Linked DNA regions of Anolis sagrei. The protein of the gene in region 1 purifies or fractionates together with the protein of each later gene. This does not show direct contact. Links are inferred from orthologs where the notes say so. Each region holds a gene or a part of one and is shown on either strand. Other genes may lie near its edges.

The links.
Region 2: the proteins of RAB13 (region 1) and GDI1 purify together in Homo sapiens (affinity purification with mass spectrometry; 4 studies listed by BioGRID and IntAct, counting the BioPlex papers as one, with this or other methods). This does not show direct contact. The link is inferred for Anolis sagrei from reciprocal best matches to the Homo sapiens genes RAB13 and GDI1.

Annotation. Positions count from the first base shown.
Region 1 is NC_090032.1:666,092-676,634, reverse strand, and holds the start of RAB13 (ras-related protein Rab-13), read left to right. Parts: upstream 1-5,811; 5' UTR 5,812-6,079; coding exon 6,080-6,206; intron 6,207-7,962; coding exon 7,963-8,023; intron 8,024-8,471; coding exon 8,472-8,532; intron 8,533-8,783; coding exon 8,784-8,861; intron 8,862-10,361; coding exon 10,362-10,451; intron 10,452-10,543. Other genes in the region: RPS27 (small ribosomal subunit protein eS27), read right to left, coding at 476-584, 3,135-3,140; guanine nucleotide exchange factor subunit RIC1-like, read right to left, coding at 3,195-3,286, 3,372-3,550, 3,642-3,819, 5,001-5,194, 5,395-5,573.
Region 2 is NC_090022.1:174,392,840-174,402,997, forward strand, and holds the start of GDI1 (rab GDP dissociation inhibitor alpha), read right to left. Parts: upstream 4,943-10,158; 5' UTR 4,760-4,942; coding exon 4,715-4,759; intron 1-4,714. UniProt on the Homo sapiens protein: Regulates the GDP/GTP exchange reaction of most Rab proteins by inhibiting the dissociation of GDP from them, and the subsequent binding of GTP to them. Promotes the dissociation of GDP-bound Rab proteins from the membrane and inhibits their activation.

The DNA.
Region 1 (10,543 bases):
CTATATTTATTCCCCACCCTTCTCACCCCTGAGGGGGGACTCAGAGCAGCCTCACAAACACCTTACTGTGTCATCATAATAAAACAATCAACAATACATTACAATATTAAAATAATTGATTAACATATGCGTTATTAAAATCAGAGTCTAAAATCCACGCAACTGTAGTCAACCTGGAATGTAGGGCTGGAAAGGAAACTTCAACCAGGGAGTATTTGCCGAGAGGCAATGCCATGAAGACACGACAACGTACATAGGAAGCCATTCTTAAAACGGGAGCAACCCATTTGCCAGAGAGCAATGCAATCACGTGGATGAGGAAGTAAACAGAGAAGTGGCAGACTGGCCTTCTGCAAAGCAAAGTTCAACCACCAACACTGAATCCGAAGGTGAATTATGTAATGTGGCCTCTTCTGGCAATTCAGTGCAGGAGCCCAAAGGTACTGAGGAGGAGATGGGTGTGGGCCGGGCCTACCTGGACACTTGACGTCCATGAAGTAGGAGTTGGGGCTCTGGACCAGGCGCTTCTTCTTGTGCTTCCGCTTCTCCTCCTCAGGGGAGGGATGCAAGAGGTCCTTTGCGAGCTGCAGGGAAAAGAAAGCCAAAGCAAGGGCCGCCTCAGGCAGAGACCAACCCAAGCCCCCCGTTTCCCTTCCCCGTTCCTCCAAGGGTTCAAGGCCAGCCTCACTGAGGCAGGGGCCAGGCAGCCCGGAAAACTCACAGCAACCCAAGAATATAAGCACGCTCAGTCTGGGCTATAAATCAATACTGGAGATAATAATAATAATAATAATAATAATAATAAGCATGCTCATGGAAACCTAGAGTTGGAAGAGACCTCGTGGGCCATCCAGTCCAACCCCCTGCCAAGAAGCAGGACAATAGCATTCAAAGCACCCCCCATCTGTGCTGTTAATTAATCCTGGAAATAATAATAAGATTAATCATCATCATCATCATCATGCTCATCTGTGCTATTAATTAATCCTGGAAATAATAATAAAAACAATAAGGAGGAGGAGAAGCATGCTATTAATTAATCCTGAAAATAATATTAATAATAGTCATAATCATGCTCATCTGTGCTATTAATTAATCCTGAAAATAGTAATAACAAGAAAGAGTAATAACAAGAAGAAGCATGCTATTAATTAATCCTGTAAATAATAATAATATTAATAATAATCATAATCATGCTCATCTGTGCTATTAATTAATCCTGGAAATAATAGTAGTAAGGAGGAGGAGGAGGATGCTCAGTCTGTGCTATTAATTAATGCTGTAAATAATCAATAATCATAAGCATGCTCATCTGTGCTATTAATTAATCCTGGAAATAGTAGTAGTAGTAATAATAATAATAATAATAATAATAAGCATGCTCATCTGTGCTATGAATCCTGGAAATAATAGTAGTAATAATAAGAAGAAGTATGCTCAGTCTGTGCTATTAATTAATCCTGGAAATAATAATAAGAAGCATGCTCATCTGTGCTATTAATTAATCCTGGAAAAAATAGTAGTAGTAGTAGTAGTAGTAGTAGTAGTAATAATCATTAGCATGCTCATCTGTGCTATGAATCCTGGAAATAATAATAATAATAATAAGAAGTATGCTCAGTCTGTGCTATTAATTATTCCTGGAAATAATAATAATCAATAATCATAAGCATGCTCAACTGTGCTATTAATTAATCCTGGAAATAATAATAACAAGCATGCTCATCTGTGCTATTAATTAATCCTGGAAAAAATAGTAGTAGTAGTAGTAGTAGTAATAATAATAATAAGCATGCTCATCTGTGCTATGAATCCTGGAAATAATAGTAATAATAATAAGAAGTATGCTCAGTCTGTGCTATTAATTATTCCTGGAAATAATAATAATCAATAATCATAAGCATGCTCATTTGTGCTATTAATTAATCCTGGAAATAATAGTAGTAATAATAATAATCATCATCATAAGCATGTTCATCTGTGCTATTGATTAATCCTGGAAATAATAATAATAATAATAATAATAAGCATGCCCTCCCTCCAGATCTCCTGCCAGAGACTCAAAGCGGCTTAACATGAAAGCATCAGCACACTATTTCAAATCTACAAACATTCAAACATAACTGGATATCAATGGTATTTTAAAAGTCAAGTTAAAATCCATACAAACGTATATTTGAAGCTAAAAACCCGGGTCAAAACCTAATTTCAAAGCCTGACTGAATGGAAAGGCTTTGGCCTACAGTTGGAAGGAAGGAAGGGCAGCTGGGAGGGAGCCCCAACCTTGGATTAGCATTATAATGGCTTTGCAGCTTCAAAGCCTGGCTGCTTCCTGCGGGGGGGGGGGATCCTTTGTTGGGAGGTGTTAGCTGGCTCTGATATAACCCCCACTTGCAGACCTCACCACCTCTGAGGATGCCTTTATAGTCATAGATGCAGGCGAAACGTCAGGAGAGAGTACTTCTAGAATATGGCCATATAGGTCAAAAAAACCACAGCGATCCCAGCCACAAAAGCCTTCGACAATACTATTGCTATTGTCGTAAGGGATGCTGGATCTAGGCTATAAATTAATCCAGGAAACAATGATAGTAATAATAATAATAGTATGTACTTATAACCTGAGCCAAAGATGTAGGCGAAACGTCAGGAGAGAGTGCTTCTAGAATCTGACCAAAAAACCCACAGTGATTCCAGCCAGTGTGGGTTATTTTTAATTTTAATTACTATTAATGTCATAAGGGACGCTGGATCTATGTGATAATTAGTTAATTAATCCCGGAAATAATGATGATTATTATTATTGGGAGTGAGAGAAGGACGGGCCTCTGCTGAGGGGGATCTCAAAAAGGCCCAAAAGCCTCTCCTTGATTTACAATACTTTCCTTAATATGTGATGGTATACAATCTTAGTAATGGTGGAGGCCCAAACCATCCCTTCCCTCCTCCTCCGCCCCCAAAGCAGCCACGTCCGCCATTTTGTGCCTGGCTCCTTCGGCCTTCGGAGAGGCAGCGGCCTGGGCTGGCCCGAGCGGCCGGGCGCGGCGCCTCCTCGGCGGGGGGCGCTGCCAGGAAAGGCCGCGGCGTGGGGCGAGGCCTAGCGCGGCCTGAACGAGGGAGAGAGAGAGACTCACAGGCATGTCCGCGTGGAGGCAGCGACGGCCGGAAAGGAGCCACGCCGGAAAGAGAGGGCGCTATATCCGCTCGGCGCGGGGTTTCCCCGGAGGGAGGCCGGAAGTCGAGGGGAAAGGGGGCGGGGCGGAGACTGACCACGCCCCGCCCTCCACTGCGCAGGCTCAGCGGCGCCATCTTGAGGAGGGGAAAGGAGGGGAGGCCGCCATGATGGGAGGGAAAGAGGGAAACAGGCCTACATGCATAGATAGATAGATAGATAGATAGATAGATAGATAGATAGATAGATAGATAGATAGATAGATAGATAGATAGATAGATAGATAGATAGATAGATAGATAGAGAGATAGAGAGATAGAGAGATAGATAGATAGATAGATAGATAGATAGATAGATAGGAAGGAAGGAAGGAAGGAAGGAAGGAAGGAAGGAAGGAAGGAAGGAAGGAAGAAGGATGGATAGATTTATTTATTTACAGCATTTATATATCTCGGGACTTAAGATAGGAAGATAGATAGATAGATACATAGATAAGTAGATAGATAGATAGATAGATAAGAAGATAGATAGATAGATAGTTAAATAGATAAGTAGATAGAAAGATAGATAGATAGATAGATAGATAGGTAAATACATAGATAAGTAGATAGATAAATAAATAGATAGATAGATAGATAGATAGGTAAGTAGATAGATAAGTAGATAGAAAAATAGGTAGGTAGGTAGATAAATAGATAGGTAAATAGATAGATAAGTAGGTAGGTAGGTAGATAAGTAGTTAGATAGATAAATGGATTGATTTTCATCTTGTCTCCTGCCTATGTGTCATCAGTCTCCTGTGCTATGTTAATAATATAATATATTGTATATTATATTATTTATTTATAATATTATAATGTAACATAATACACTACTAATAATAAGATATTAAAATTATATATTTTATAAGACATGTAATATTATTAATATTACAATATAACGGTATAGTACAATATAGTAACATATAATACTGGTATTGTATTATGCTAATAATATAGCATATTGTATGTATATCTATCTTGTAAGCTGCTCTGAGTCCCCTTCGGGGTGAGAAGGGCAGCATAGAAATGTCTTAAATAAATACATAAATAGATAGATAGATAGGTAGGTAGGTAGGTAGATAGATAGATAGGAATATAAATGGAAAGCTGGATGGATGGATGGATGGATGGATGGATGGATAGGAAGGAAGATAGATAGATTGATTGATAGATAAGAAAATAGGAAGACTGGAAGGAAGGAAGATGGATTTATAGATAGATAGGAAGATAGATAGGAAGGTAGATAGATAGCTAGATAGATGGATAGAGGTAGGAAGGAAGGAATGTAGATAGATAGGAAGAGAGACAGAAAGATGGGAAGGAAAGAAAGATAGATAGATGAATAGATATGAAGATAGATGGATAGACAGACAGACAAATAGATACAGATAGATGCATAGATAGATAGGAAGACAATTGAATACATGGATGGATTGATAAGATAGTTGGATAGATAGATAGATAGATAGATAGATGGATAGATAGGAAGAGTGATATTTAATTGTTTCTCCCTCAAGCAGACGATCCCTCTCTCAGCTAACAATTGAAACTCTGCAGATGGATGGATGGTTGGATGGATAGCTAGCTAGCTAGGTAGGTAGATGGATGGATGGATGAATGGATGTGTGGGTGGGTGGATAGATAGATGGATGGATGGGTGGGTGGGTAGGTAGGTAGGTAGATGCATGGATAGATGGGTGCATGGGTGGATAGATAGATAGGTAGATAGATGGTTGGATGGATGGATGGGTAGGTAGGTAGGTGCATGCATGGATGGATGGATGGATGGATAGATGGGTGGAGAGATGGGTGGATAGATAGGTAGATAGATAGATGGATGGATGGATAGGTGGATGATTGGATGGATGGGTATGTAGGTAGGTAGATGCATAGATATATGGATGGATGGATGGATGGATGGATAGATGGGTGGATGGATAGATAGATGGATAGGTAGATGGATGGTTGGATGGATGGGTAGGTAGGTAGGTGCATGCATGCATGGATGGATAGATGGGTGGATAGATAGGTAGATAGATAGATAGATAGATGGATGGATGGATGGATGGATAGGTGGATGATTGGATGGATGGGTACATAGGTAGGTAGATGCATAGATGTATGGATGGATGGATAGATAGATAGATAGATAGATAGATAGATAGATAGATGAATAGCTATGAAGACAGATGGATAGATAGATAGACAGACAGAGATAGGAAGATAGAAAGATAGATAAATACATGGATGGATGGATTGATTGATAGATGGATAGATGGATAGATAGATAGAGTGATATTTAATTGTCTCTCTCTCAAGCCGTCTCTCTCTCTCTTTTCCAGCAATTGAGACTCTGCCATGCCTATACATTCAAAGTGTATAAAACTCATAATTAAAACCGATGGAATCCTGATAGCCACAAAAGGCCTCTTGAACAACCTCACAGCGCATTTGTATAGTTCTAAACTGCACTGGCACGGGGATTGGGAAGGGAGGGGATCCTTGCTCAGCTTCCCTTGCAGTGAATGCACTCTGCACATGCTCATTGTCCCCCTCTTTTGTTTCCCCTTCTTCTTTTGCAGAGTTTGCTAGGGATGCCTGGAGCCTTCCTGCTTCCTGTCCTTCCTCTGGTCCTGCCTCCTTAACCCTTTCCTTTCCTGGAGGAAGTAACTTGGGAGGAAGCCGAGGGAGTGGACTCCGGGAAAAGGGGAAGAGGAGGAGGAGGAGGAGGAGGGAAGAAAGGAAGGGGAAAGGAGGAGAAGAGGAGGAGTTGTGGCATTTCCCCCCAGCTTGGGGACCCCTTCCTCCACTTCCTTCCTGGCCCTTCCTTCCTTGCTTCCTCCCTTCCTTCCTCTTCCTGGGGGCGATGATGGCCAAGTCCTACGACCACCTCTTCAAGGTGCTGCTGATTGGGGACAGTGGCGTGGGCAAGACCTGCCTCATCATCCGCTTCGCAGAGGACAACTTCAGCGGCACCTACATCTCCACCATTGGTAAGACAGGAGCAGAAGACCCCACCATCACCACCATCACCATCATCATCATCTGGATCATCATCATCATCATCATCATCATCATCATAGAGACAGGAATAATAATAATCATCATAATAATAATACATTCCTAGATGCAGAAGGGAAACCCCAAAGGGCATCCAGTCCAACCTCCATCCTGCCAGGAAGGAAAGCACAACGCCATTCCTCCCAACAGAAAGCCAGATAGTCTCCAAATAACAACAACAACAACAACAACAACAACAACAACAACAACAATAATAATACAATCCTAGAGGTGGGAGGGATCCCGGTAGGAAGGAAAGAATGAGGCTGGAAGGAAGGCACAATTCAATCCCTCCTGAGAGATGGCCAGCCAGACTCCTCATAATAATAATAGCAATAGGAATACTAATCATAATAGCAACAACAACAACAATAATAATAGAACCATATAACCCCAAAAGGCCATAAAATCCTAGACTTCAAAGGAAATAATAATAATAATAACAATAGAACCATACAACCCTAGAGTTGGAAGGGACCCTAAAGGCCACCCAGTCCAACCCCCTTCTGCCAGCCACCGAACGCACAACTCAATCCCTCCTAACAGATGGCCATCCAGCCTTTTTATTATTATATTACTAATAATATTACAATATAATGGTATAGTGCAATATAGTAATATATACTGATATTGTACTATGCTAATAATATAATATATTGTATGAAAATATATATTGTAAGCTGCTCTGAGTCCCCTTCAGGGTGAGAAGAGCGGCATATAAATGCTGTAAATAAATAAATAAATAAATTTGAATAATAGCAATAATAATAATAATAATAATAATAATAATAATAATGTCTGACATGTGATCCAATGCAACAACCAGCAGAGTGATCTTGTCTGCTGTGGACTCATCTTGTTTTGTTTATAATGATGATGATGATGATGATGATGATGATGATGATGATAGAAATGGGAGGGACCCTAAAGGCCACCTAGTCCAACCCCCTTTCCTGCCAGGCAGGAAGGTACAACTCAATATCTCCTAACAGATGTCCATCCAGCCTCTGAATAAAATAATAATAATAATAATAATAATAACAACAACAACAACAATAATAATAATAATAATAATAATAGCATCTGACGTGTGATCCAATACAACAGCCAGCATAGTGATCTTGTCTGCTGTGGACTTGTCTTGTTTTGTTAATAATAATAATAATAATAATAATAATAATAATAGAATTGGGACAGACCCTAAAGGCCACCTAGTCCAACCCCTTTCCTGCCAGGCAGGCAGGCACAACTCAATCTCTCCTAACAGATGGCCATCCAGCCTCTGAATAATAATAGCAGTAATAAAAATAATAATAATACAATACAACAGCCAGCAAAGTGATCTTGTTTGCTGTGGACTCATCTTGTTTTGTTTATAATCATAATCATAATCATAGAATTGGGAGGGACCCTAAAGGCCACCTAGTCCAACCCCTTTCCTGCCAGGCAGGCAGGCACATTTCAAGCTCTCCTAACAGATGTCCATCCAGCCTCTGAATAATAATAGCAGTAATAATAATAATAATAATAATAATAATACATCAGCCAGCAGAGTGATCTTGTTTGCTGTGGACTCATCTTGTTTTGTTTCTAATAATAATAATAATAGAAACCCTGAGCTTAAAAGTGTAATGGCTTCCTCCCTTTTCCTTCCTTCCTTCCTTCCTCCCTTCCTTCTTCCTCACCCAGGCATTGACTTCAAAATCCGGACCGTGGACATTGAGGGCAAGAGGATCAAGCTGCAGGTCTGGTAGGTCCCTTTCGGAGCCGCGCTTCTTCCCAAGCCGTGGCCGGGGAGCGGCACCTCCGGTTGCAAGGCTGCTCCATGCTTGTTGATCACAGAGTGCAAGCAGACCTCTCCTAGCCTGGCATGCCTGCTCTCTCCTCCCAGCAGCCCAAGAGAAACATTGAGGAGCCCGCAAGTTTCGGGTCTGATAGGAATGGTGGGAGTTGGTCTAGAACTGGTCTAGAACACCCGTTCTAGACCCTGCACCGTGTCTCTCCTAGCCCTCCATTGCATTCCCGCCCTCTCCTCCCAGCAGCCCAAGAGGGGCATTGAGGAGCCTTGGGTCTGATAGGAATGGTGGGAGTTGCAGTATAGAACAGGTCTAGAACACCTGTTCTAGACCCTGCAACATGTCTCTGGCTAGGAATGCGCATGGATCCGTGAGCGTGAGCATGCTTTGTTTCTCTTCCAGGGACACAGCCGGGCAGGAGCGGTTCAAGACCATCACCACCGCCTATTATCGGGGCGCCATGGTAGGACCCCAGCCCGCCCTTAGTGGCGCTAGAACTCCCCCCCCCCCCAGGTGTCGTTTGCGGGGATTTCTGTCTTACTTCTTTCCTGCCACACCACAGAATCACATAATAACCTTGGAAGGGACCCCAGGGGCCATCCAGTCCTCATGCAGGAAAAGCCCAGTCAAAACCCCCCCGACAGATGGCCACCCAGCCTCTGTTTAAACTGCTGCGAACGTGCCCTTCCTGGGTCTCTGTGTTCCACCTCGCAGGGCATCATCCTGGTCTACGACATCACCGACGAGAAGTCCTTTGAGAACATCCAGAACTGGATGAAGAGCATCAAGGAGGCAAGTCCCGTTTCCATGCATTTCCACCGTATGGAATGAATGTATATATGTTGTTAATCTTTGTGCTTTAATTATGTTGCACGCTGCCTTCGGCCGGGAGGAGAGCCGGGTAAGAAATAAAATAGAATGATTATTACATTATTATTATTATTATTATTATTATTATTATTTTACTGACACAAAAACACAGTATGTCACAGCAAATGAGATCTATATGTGTCAGGAGTCAATTTCTGACGGCATGAAAACATCACAAATTCCCTCCATGACCTCCTGACTGATCAATTCTCTCTCTGTGATATTCTGAAGCCAGCCGAGGACGCTGGAGACCATGTGTTGCATCCCAGATCAGGAAACGAGACCATAAGATCAAATCCACCACACTGGACTGTGGGGAAAAACAATCCTTTTTATTGATGAAAAATGGTTACAAAATAGAGGAAAATGCAAAGTCAAAAAGCCACAGTAGAAACTCAGCAGTCAGGAAAATCTCTGAACTTGAGCACAATTCCAAAAGCCACAATACAAAAACCTCGAACCTGTTAGCATCTCACTAACCATACTTGAAAACTAGAAGCCTCTGGAAATGCAGGCCATGGAACGCAGGAAATCTGCCAAGGTGTTGCCTCAGTCTAAACGATGCTTGATCTAACGAGACAGCCCGGGGAGAGGCCCCTTAAACCAAAGAAACTGTTTCTTGACACGCCTCCAGGCTTTGAAGCCTGAGCCTCCCTTTCCCTTAATCTACTTGACCTTCTCAGACTCTGTGATTCACTCCTGTTTCTCCAAATCTGTTCTCTTCGATCCTCATTAAAAAAAAACCCAGGTGTGAGTTCCTCTGGAGAGCTATCACCGCTTGGTTCCAAAACATCCTCATCAGGAAATTTAGTTTCATTTTCCCAGCCACTGCCCTCAGAATCAACAGTTTCCAAACCATCAGGGAAAGAGACATGTTCAGAGGCCTGTTCAGTTGCATCAGGAAATACAATTAGAGAATTGGGTTCAGGTTCACACAGAGATTGAGGCACAGGTTCGCACGGAGGCTGAACCCCAACACCAGGTTATGGAACTTGTGAAGCAACAAGTTCTAATAAGGAAACTGAGAAGAGGGGGAAGATGGGCAGAAAAGGTGTCTAAAAGGAAGTGGTGGTGGGAAAAAGTCCGTAGTGTCTTAATGTAAGACTGTAGGATCTATACAGCAATATTAAAGAACCACTCACAAGCCGTCTTTGCTGCAGAGATACCAGCCATATGTCCATTTCAAAGCAGAACCGGCTTGTGAGTGGATATTTAATATTGCTATTGAGATCCTACAGTCTTACAATATGCTGGATTATTATTATTATTATTATTATCATCATCACCACCACCACTACTACTACCATTGTTGTTGTTGTTATGTGTGCAAGGGGCCAGTGAATGGGGGGTGGCTGGGTACACAAGGGGTGCGTCTACACTGTCAAATGGATGCGGTTTGAGACCATCCCTCCCGTTGCGCAGAACGCGTCCTCGGGCGTGGAGCGGCTCCTCCTGGGAAACAAGTGCGACATGGAGGCCAAGCGCAAGGTGCCCCAAGACAAGGCCCAGAAGGTACCCAGGGGAAGGGGGCTTCGGGGGGGGGGGGGTCTCTCTCTCTCTCTCTTTGCCGGAAGACCTGGGTTCCTCACGGGTTCAGGAGGTTA
Region 2 (10,158 bases), on another chromosome or scaffold:
GAAACAAAGCTTGGTGAGAATGCTTCAGTAGAATCTCCCCCATGATCACTCTTCCAGGAGTGAATTTCCCTTCTAAGGAATAGATTTCTCTCACTTCCTGTTGCCCCCCCCCCCCCGTAACGATGAGTCGTATGTAAGTCGGAGACTGCCTATACTTAGGAGAAACCATTACGGTTAAGTCATCATGGCTAACCACAAAATATGTTTGCAGTGGTAATCTGCTTTTAAAAGTCAATGCGTTCTGAGCTCAGAAACAAAGAGAAGCCTACTTGCCCCAAGAGGACAAATGGCTCCCCCAGAATATATTATAGATTGAGTATCTCTTATCAGGAGTTCAATAATCCATAATACTCCAAAATTGTCCTCAGAGGTGGATAAGATGTTGTTGTTGTTCATTCGTTCAGTCGTCTCCGACTCTTCGTGACCTCATGGACCAGCCCACGCCAGAGCTCCCTGTCGGCCGTCACCACCCCCAGCTCCTTCAAGGTCAGTCCAGTCACTTCAAGGATGCCATCCATCCATCTTGCCCTTGGTCGGCCCCTCTTCCTTTTACCTTCCACTTTCCCCAGCATAATTGTCTTCTCTAGGCTTTGCTGTCTCCTCATGATGTGGCCAAAGTACTTCAACTTTGTCTCTAGTATCCTTCCCTCCAATGAGCAGTCGGGCTTTATTTCCTGGAGGATGGACTGGTTGGATCTTCTCGCAGTCCAAGGCACTCTCAGAACTTTCCTCCAGCACCACAGTTCAAAAGCATCTCTCTTCCTTCGCTCACCCTTCCCTAAGGTCCAGCTCTCACATCCTTAGGTTACTACAGGGAATGCCATGGCGTTGACTAGGCGGATCTACTGACACTTTATTTCTGATGTTTCATGCCCAAAATTAGTAAAACATTATGTATAAATTCCCTTCATAATAAATTAAGTGTTTAGACCTGAGTCCCATCTCCTCAATATCTCATTATGTATATTGACGTATTCATATGGCAGGGACACGGCCATTGCCATTTTTGAGCTTCCCACCATATGCGGCAACCACAGATTCTCCAATTTGATTGGGTTTCAGCACCCACTCTATAAGACGACTCCTGGCGTATAAGACTACCCCTGCATATAAGATGACTCCCATGTATAAGGCCACTCCAGCGTATAAGACGACACCGCATATAAGATGACCCCTGACTTTTGAGAAGATTTTCTTGGGTAAAAGTAGTCTTATACACCAGAATATACGGTAATTCTACAGTGACTTGTGTCAAACTCAAATCCCACAGGATGAATTTCACCCGCCATGTTGTTTTATGTGGCCCTCTTCCAGATGCTGAACTACAAGTTGTCTTCCTCATCTTAGACATCATGATGAATTGAGAGCTGATAGGAGTTGTGATACAGCAACATCTGGAAGGTTGAAAAGTGTTTTCTTCAGTCAGGAGAGTGGGGTCTGAATTTAAATACAAGGGTTATGGATATGATATCTGATTTTAAAATGCCGTTCAACCTTTCCTCAACTTCAGATCTATAAGTGCTGTTGGGTTGCAATTCCCATTATTCTCAGTCAGTGGATAATCACAGTGATGGCAGTTGTCGTTCAATAACACCTGGGAAGCCAAACGGATAAAAACTAAAGAACACCAACAATGTAAAAAAAAATTAGCTAGTCCTCTGTAGCCATGGATTCTCTGCCATGGATGCAACGGCCCTTTGAAGGCAATCATAAGAAACGTCAGGAGAGAATGCCTCTAGAACATGGCCATATAACCCGAAAAAACCTACAACAACCCAATCATAAGGTTGGTGTGGCTTTTGATGAAAATGGCTTTGACACCCTTGATGTCACCCCAAGTCTCCTTTCTGGATTACAAGAATATGGAAAATGAGAATAAAATTATCCTTGGTGTGTGTGGAGATATATATATATAAAACATTGACCTTAGATGTCATAGGCAGTACCAAAATTCAGAGTGGGAAAAGCATGGGACCTTAGATAGCCAGAAGACTTGCAGAACCATGGACAACATCTGAAGAACCGCATACTGAGGAGGGGGTTGTGCCCTGTCCAAGCCTGCAATAGTAGGTGCACACACACATCTGCACCAGGATTTGGCCTTGCTCTGCAAGACCCTTCAATCTTGAGATACTGATAACGGGGTGGACTTCCCATATTGTGACTCCAGACTTTGGGAATCGGAGATGAGGGATGTCGAGAGAGGGATGCTATGCAGACCTTAGGAACTGCAGCAATGCTATTGTCGTTTTCTTCCCATTTTCTATGCTGCCAACCAACAGAGCGCCCGGGGCAATTGGCAGCACTGAAATAAGCACAGAAGGAAACACTGTCTGCTACACAAGGATTGTTATCTTAAAGACAAGGGATGGGTTGGAAATAAGAAGGATCTGGCCAAAATGTTGGAAGGAAGAGAAGAGAGTGAAGGGAAATAAGGAAGGGGAGGATGAAAGTAAAGAAGGAAAAGAAGGGAGGGAGGGAGGGAAGGAAGGACGGACGGAAGGAAAGAAGGAAGGAGAGAGAAAGAGGCTTTGCAATTGGTACCCAGACATTGAGGATGGATGGAGGGTTGCATCAGAGGAGCTGCAATGGGGCCAAACCCATTTCCATTAGGAGAACAGAGCCAATGAGGTGGAAATCCACATACACAGCATGGAAGGACAATTATTATTATTATTATTATTATTATTATTATTATTATTATCATCATATTATTATTATTTATATTGCAGGAGGAATAAGGAAGTGGGTGCTTGGAAAAATAAAAAATGCAATGCACGATCCACCATCCCATTGCAATACAAATAATCCAAATAACAATTATTATTTATATTGCACGAGAAATAAGGAATAAAAAAATATAAGGCACCATTCCCACCATTCCATTGTAATAATAATAATATTATTAATGTATATTGCAGGAGAAATAAGGAAGTAGATGCTTGGAATAAATAAATAAATAAATGCACCATCTCCACCATCCCATTGGAATGCATGATCTATCATCCCACTGCAATATAAATTATTATTAATAATAATATTGCAGGAGAAATAAGGAAGTGGGTGCTTGGAAAAAATATAATAATAAATGCACCATCTCCACCATCTCATTGCAATATAAATAATAATACAAATTATTATTATTATTATTATTATTATTATTATTATTAGAAACACAACAAGATGAGTCCACAGCAGACACTCTGCTGGCTGTTGTTATTATTATAATCACTATCATTTATATTGCAGAAGAAATAAGAAAATGAGTGCTTGGGGAAAAAAAATAAAGGCACAATTTCCACCATCCTGTTGCAATATATTATTATTATTATTATTATTATTATTATTGCAGGATGATTAAGGAAATTGGTGCTTGAAAAAAAATAAAAATAGATGCCCCATCTCCACCATTCCATTGTAATGCACGATCCACCATCCTATTGTAATAATAATAATAATAATATATTGCAGGAGAAATAAGAAAGTGGATGCTTGGAAAAATAAAAAAACAGATGCCCCATCCCCACCATCCCATTGCAAAATAAATAATACGAAGTATTATTATTATTATTATTGCAGGAGGAATATGGAAGTGGGTGCTTGGAAAAAAAACAAAAACAGATGCCCCATCCCCACCATCCCATTGCAATATAAATAATACAAATTATTATGATGATTATTATTGCAGGAGGAATATGGAAGTGGGTGCATGGAAAAAAATAAAAAATAGATGCCCCCATCCCCACCATCCTATTGCAATATAAATAATACAAATTATTATTATTATTATTATTATTGGAAAAATAAAAACTGATGCCCCATCTCCATAATCCGATTGCAATATAAATTATTATTATTATTATTATTATTATTGCAGGAGGAATATGGAAGTGGATGCTTGGGAAAAAACAAAAACAGATGCCCCATCCCCACCATCCCATTGCAATATAAATAATACAAAGTATTATTATTATTATTATTATTATTATTGGAAAAATAAAAACAGATACCCCATCTCCATAATCCCATTGCAATATAAATTATTATTATTATTATTATTATTATTATTGCAGGAGGAATATGGAAGTGGGTGCTTGGAAAAAAATAAAAAAAAATAGATGCCCCATCCCCACCATCCCATTGCAATATAAATAATACAAATTATTATTATTATTATTATTATTATTATTATTGGAAAAATAAAAACTGATGCCCCATCTCCATAATCCGATTGTGATATAAATAATTATTATTATTATTATTATTATTATTATTATTATTATTGCAGGAGGAATATGGAAGTGGGTGCTTGGAAAAAAATAAAAAAAATAGATGTCCCATCCCCACCATCCCATTGCAATATAAATAATACAAATTATTATTATTATTATTATTATTATTATTGGAAAAATAAAAACTGATGCCCCATCTCCATAATCCGATTGCAATATAAATTATGATTATTATTATTATTATTATTATTGCAGGAGAAATATGGAAGTGGGTGCTTGGAAAAATAAAAATAGAAAGATGCCCCATCCATCCCCATCCATCCCATTGCAATGCAAGGTCTCCCCCTCCCCATTGCATCAAGGAAGGGCGACGCTGCATCCTGCCTGCAATGGAAGGGAAGGGAGGCTGGGATGCGGCGGTGGCGGAGGAAAAGGAGTCCCCACAGGCGGGCCGCCCCTGGCCCTTCCCCGGTGAGACTCACGGTCAGGCCGGTGCCCAGCACGATCACGTCGTAGGCCTCGTCCATGGTGGTGGTAGTGGTGACGGTGGTGGTCCCGGCCGCGGAGCCCCCGCCCCGAGCGGAGCCAAGATGGAGCCGCACCACCGCGCCGAGCGGATCACCCCGCCGGGGAAAATAAACGAGTCCCAGAGCCGAGAGAGAAAGCAGAGATCGCTCCGCCTTGGAAAAGGGAGGGTGAACTGGATCCTCGCGCCCCTTTTTCCAAAGGAGGCGGATGGAGAAAAGGGCGAGGGGTGGGAGTGTGCCCCTCCGCCGTGTTCTGGCCACAGCCTCAGCGCAGAGAGAGGATGGGAAACGAGTTCCGGCCCCTGTTTCTCCCTGTCATCAGCTGAGGGCAGGAGGAGGAGGGGGCTTGTCAGGCCTGCCTTCACCATGGAAACCTCACTGCAAGGATGGGTTCTAGTATATGCATACATCTCTGTGTGTATCTATCTCTCTCTCTATCTCTCTCTCTCTCTATACATATATATAGAATCATAGAATCAAAGAGTTGGAAGAGACCTCATGGGCCATCCAGTCCAACCCCCTGCCAAGAAGCAGGAAAATCTCATTCAAAGCACCCTCAGCAGATGGCCATGCAGCCTCTGTTTAAAAGCCTCCAAAGAAGGAGCCTCCACCACACACCGAGGCAGAGAGTTCCACTGCTGAACAGCTCTCACAGCCAGGAAGTTCTTCCTCATGTTTAAAGGCCTCAAAATATGGAGCCTCTACCACAAACCAGGGCAGAGAGTTCCACTGCTGAACGGCTCTCACAATCAGGAAGTTCTTCCTCGTGTTCAGATGGAATCTCCTTTATTTATTTATTTAGACCATTTCTACCCCGTCCTTCTCACCCCTGAGGGGGGACTCAGGGCGGCTAACGCAGGCAACAATTCAATGCCAACAGTATCCATTTATTTATTTATTTATTTGTCGTGTCAGAGCAACCAGTCAAATTATATTACATTTCTAACAGAACAAAGCAAACAAACAGACAAAATACAAAATTTGTGAGTTTAGTAGTTTGATTAAATGTCCTTTGACCAGTATCGGGCCACTTGGAATGCCTCTGGTGCCTCTGGTGTTGCTCCAAGTAAGAAGGTCCTCCATTGCGCATGTAGCAGGGCTCAGGTTGCATTGCAGCAGGTGGTCTGTGGTTTGCTCTTCTCCACACTCGCATGTCGTGAATTCCACTCTGTAGCCCCATTTCTGAAGGTTGGCTCTGCATCTCGTGGTGCCAGAGCGCAGTCTGTTCAGCGCCTTCCAAGTCGCCCAGTCTTCTGTGTGTCCAGGGGGGAGTCTCTCATCTGGTATCACCCATGGATTGAGGTGCTGGGTTTGAGCCTGCCACTTTTGGACTCTCGCTTGCTGAGGCGTTCCAGCGAGTGTCTCTGTAGATCTAAGAAAACTATGTCTTGATTTAAGTCGTTGACGTGCTGGCTGATACCCAAACAGGGGATGAGCTGGAGATGTCTCTGCCTTGGTCCTTTCACTATTGGCTGCTACTTCCTGGCAGATGTCAGGTGGTGCAATACCAGCTAAGCAGTGTAATTTCTCCAGTGGTGTAGGGCGCAAACACCCCGTGATAATGCGGCATGTCTCATTAAGAGCCACATCTACTGTTTTAGTGTGGTGAGATGTGTTCCACACTGGGCATGCGTACTCAGCAGCAGAGTAGCATAGCGCAAGGGCAGATGTCTTCACTGTATCTGGTTGTGATCCCCAGGTTATGCCAGTCAGCTTTTGTATGATATTGTTTCTAGCACCCACTTTTTGCTTGATGTTCAGGCAGTGCTTCTTGTAGGTCAGAGCACGGTCCAGAGTGACTCCCAGGTATTTGGGTGTGCTGCAATGCTCCAGTGGGATTCCTTCCCAGATGCTTGTCTGTTATTAAGGTGAAAGGCACATGTCTGTGTTTTAGATGGGTTAGGGATCAGCTGGTTTTCCCTGTAATAGGCAGTAAGAGCACCTAGAGCTTCAGAGAGCTTCTGTTCTACCATCTCAAAGCTCCCTGCTTGAGCAGTAATGGCACGATCATCAGCATAGATGAAACTCTCTGTCCCTTCTGGCAGTGGCTCGCCATTTGTGTAGATGTTGAACATGGATGGAGCAAGCACGCTCCCCTGAGGCAGGCCGTTCTTCTGTTTCCGCCATCTGCTTCTCTGGCCCTGGAACTCAACTAAAAAGCTCCTGTTTTGTAGCAGGTTTCCTATGAGGCGGGTGAGGTGGTAATCCTTTGTGATATTAAACATTTTTCTCAGGAGGAGGCGGTGGTTCACAGTATCATAGGCTGTTGACAAGTCTATGAAGACAGCTCCTGTGATCTGCTGCCTTTCAAAGCCATCTTCTATGTGCTGAGTCAGGGTCAGCACTTGCAATGTGCAGCTTTTGCCTTTCCTGAAGCCAGCTTGCTGTGGGATCAGACAGGGGTCTATATTTTCCATAATTCTATGCAGAATAAGTATCTCCAGAAGCAACCAGAAGTCCCTTTTATAACTTCTCAGGAACCATAGAGTAAAGGAATCTGCATACCAAAACATATATATATAGGAATCCGCTGTGGCCCCCCAACTTTGGAACTCACTACCCGGTGAGATTAGGCAAGCCCCTACCTTAGTAGCCTTCAAAACAACTTTGAAAACTTTGCTCCTCTGATGTGCCTTTGGAGAGTAACCATTTATCCCATTTCTGTTTATTCCATTTATAGTGTTGCCCTATGATGCACTTTCCCCCGTCCTAAACTAAAAGCCTAAACCCACTATTCATCTTTTTTGGGCTCCTCTCAATTACACATTTTCTATTCAACTTCATCTAGGGTTTTATCATTTTACCTCGTCCATTTGGCCCGTTTGGTTTTATATTATATCAATTTGCTTTATTTATTTATTTATTTTTGCTATTGTATGTATTTTATTCTGATGTATTTTTGTTGTCTGCATTTTGTATTTTATTTTGCTGCATTGTACCTTTGGGCTTGGTCTCAAGCTGCCCTGAGTCCTCTTTGACAAGAAGGTGGCGGGGTACAAATAACGTTTTTTATTATTATTTTACTGACACAAAAGCACAGTATGTCACAGCAAACGAAATCTATATGTTGAATTTCGTATCACAAAATCACAAGTCGGACACTTCTTAAGCGTCTAGGACTGTGTGATGTATTTTCGAATTATGCGCGCAGATCCAAGTAAGGTGGCCTTTTGCAGTTGACAGATCGTGATTTTGTCGATGTTTATTGTTTCCAAATGCTGGCTGAGATCTTTTGGCACGGCACCTAGTGCACCATTGACCACTGGGACCACCTGTACTGGTTTATGCCAGAGCCTTTGCAGTTCGATTTTGAGGTCAGAGTGGCTGAGTTTTTTCTGTTGTTTTTCCTCAATGCGACTGTCACCTGGAATGGTGACATCAATAATCCAGACTTTTTTCTTTTCCACAATCGTCTGGTGTGTTGTGTTCCAAAACTTTATCAGTCTGGCTTCGAAAACTTTAACAGTCTGGCTTTGAAAGTCCCACAGTATTTTTGTATGCTCATTTTCCATGACCTTTGCAGGTTTATGATCCCACCTATTATTTACTGCTGGCAGGTGGCACTTATTATTATTATTGTTGTTGTTATTGTTATTATTATTTGTCATGTCAGGAGCAACCTGAGAAACCGCAAGTTGCTTCTGGTGTGTGAGAATTGGCCGTCTGCAAGGACGTTGCCCAGGGAAAGCCCAGATGATTTGATGTTTTATCATCCTTGTGGGAGGCTTCTCTCAAGGGCATTGCCCAGGGGACGCCCGGATGATTTTGATGTTTTGTCATCTTCGTGGGAGGCTTCTTTCATGTCCCCGCATGAAGAGCTGGAGCTGATAGTGGGAACTCATCCACCTCTCCCCGGATTAGCACCTGTCAGTCTTCAGTCCTGCTGGCACAAGGGTTTAACCCACTTCTTCTTCTTCTTCTTCTTCTTCTTCTTCTTCTTCTTCTTCTTCTTATTATTATTATTATTATTATTATTATTATTCAACAGTGGAACACTTTGCCTTGGAATGCAGTAGAGGCACCTTCCTTGGAAGCTTTGAAACAGAGGCTGGATGGCCATCTGTTGGGGCTACTTTGATTGTGCTTTTCCTGCATGGCAGGGGGTTGGACTAGATGAGCGACCCAACTCTGATTCTATATACACAGTCAGTATACATGCAGACACATAAAGCATCGCAACCAAACGGGAGGAGTAAACATTGTTCTGAAGAGTCCATTGTCGTCTCCTTTTAAAAAATTAAGTGTGTGTGTGTGTACACACACACACACACAAAACACTGCAACCAATGGAAGATGAGAGATTTTTCGCCCTGAAGGCCCATTTTCTCCTTTTAAAAATATAGTGTGTACTGAAAATATATATTTACATTAGAAAAAAAACACATACACATTATACATTGTACATTTGTAAAGGGAGGAGAAAATAAGCCCGCCTTAGGACTGTATTTCCTTCTTCCCAATCTCCCATCTGATTACAAATTCAAGAAAAGCACGGTAATCCTCGTCCGCAAAAGAACCACGCACAACCTTCCTAAAATACTCCCAGTTGCATCAAACATTGCCTCATTTTATAATCTGGGTGAAGCGTCGAAGATGCTCCCAGCAAGACCAATGGGGCATTTCATGGGCATCTTTGCTTTCCACAGGGTTGCCTCTCTCACTCCTTCAGGGGATGGAGAGGAGGAATAGTCAGTGTGCAGTTTGTGGTGTGTTTACTCACAAGAAAGCAACAGGGCTCAACTGTTTAAAGCATGAGTGGAAGGTGGGGTCAGGATACATTTGCTTGGCACTCCAATGGCTTTGCTGGTGAAAGCAAAGCCAGCTAATGGTTGTTCTGACATCCTGTTGCCAGTGGTAACGAAGGAGAATGCGCATGCACACATGCGTTTGGCAACCGTGTGTATTCCTGTATTTGTATTCTTGTATTTGTAGCCCCGCAGAGCTCAAATGCTCACCGCTGCCCCACCCATGAGAAAGGCAACAGAAAAGAACAAAGCCCTTGCTCCTTTCTGTAGCAATGCTGGGAAAGGCAGGATGGCTAGGAAAGCACCCCACTGCCTAATTCCTCCTTCACAAAAGGAGCCCTTCTCTGTCTTCCTTTGCATCTGGTCATCATCACAAGGAAATCCACTTTCAAAGGAAATGAACATCCTCTGCTAACAGCTCCTTGTGTAGGACTAATTCTCTAGAACAATTTACTTTAAACCTGTAAAAAATAACCCAATATATTTGTGTAGCGTTGCCAGATATAACTTTGTATATGTATGCATGCATACTTTCAATTCACCTGTCAATCTATGGTAACTCTGTGAATTTAATAGGATTTTCTTAGACAAGGAGTTTTGCCAGTTCCTTCCTCTGAAATATACTTACTTACTTAGGCAATCCCTCGTTGGACA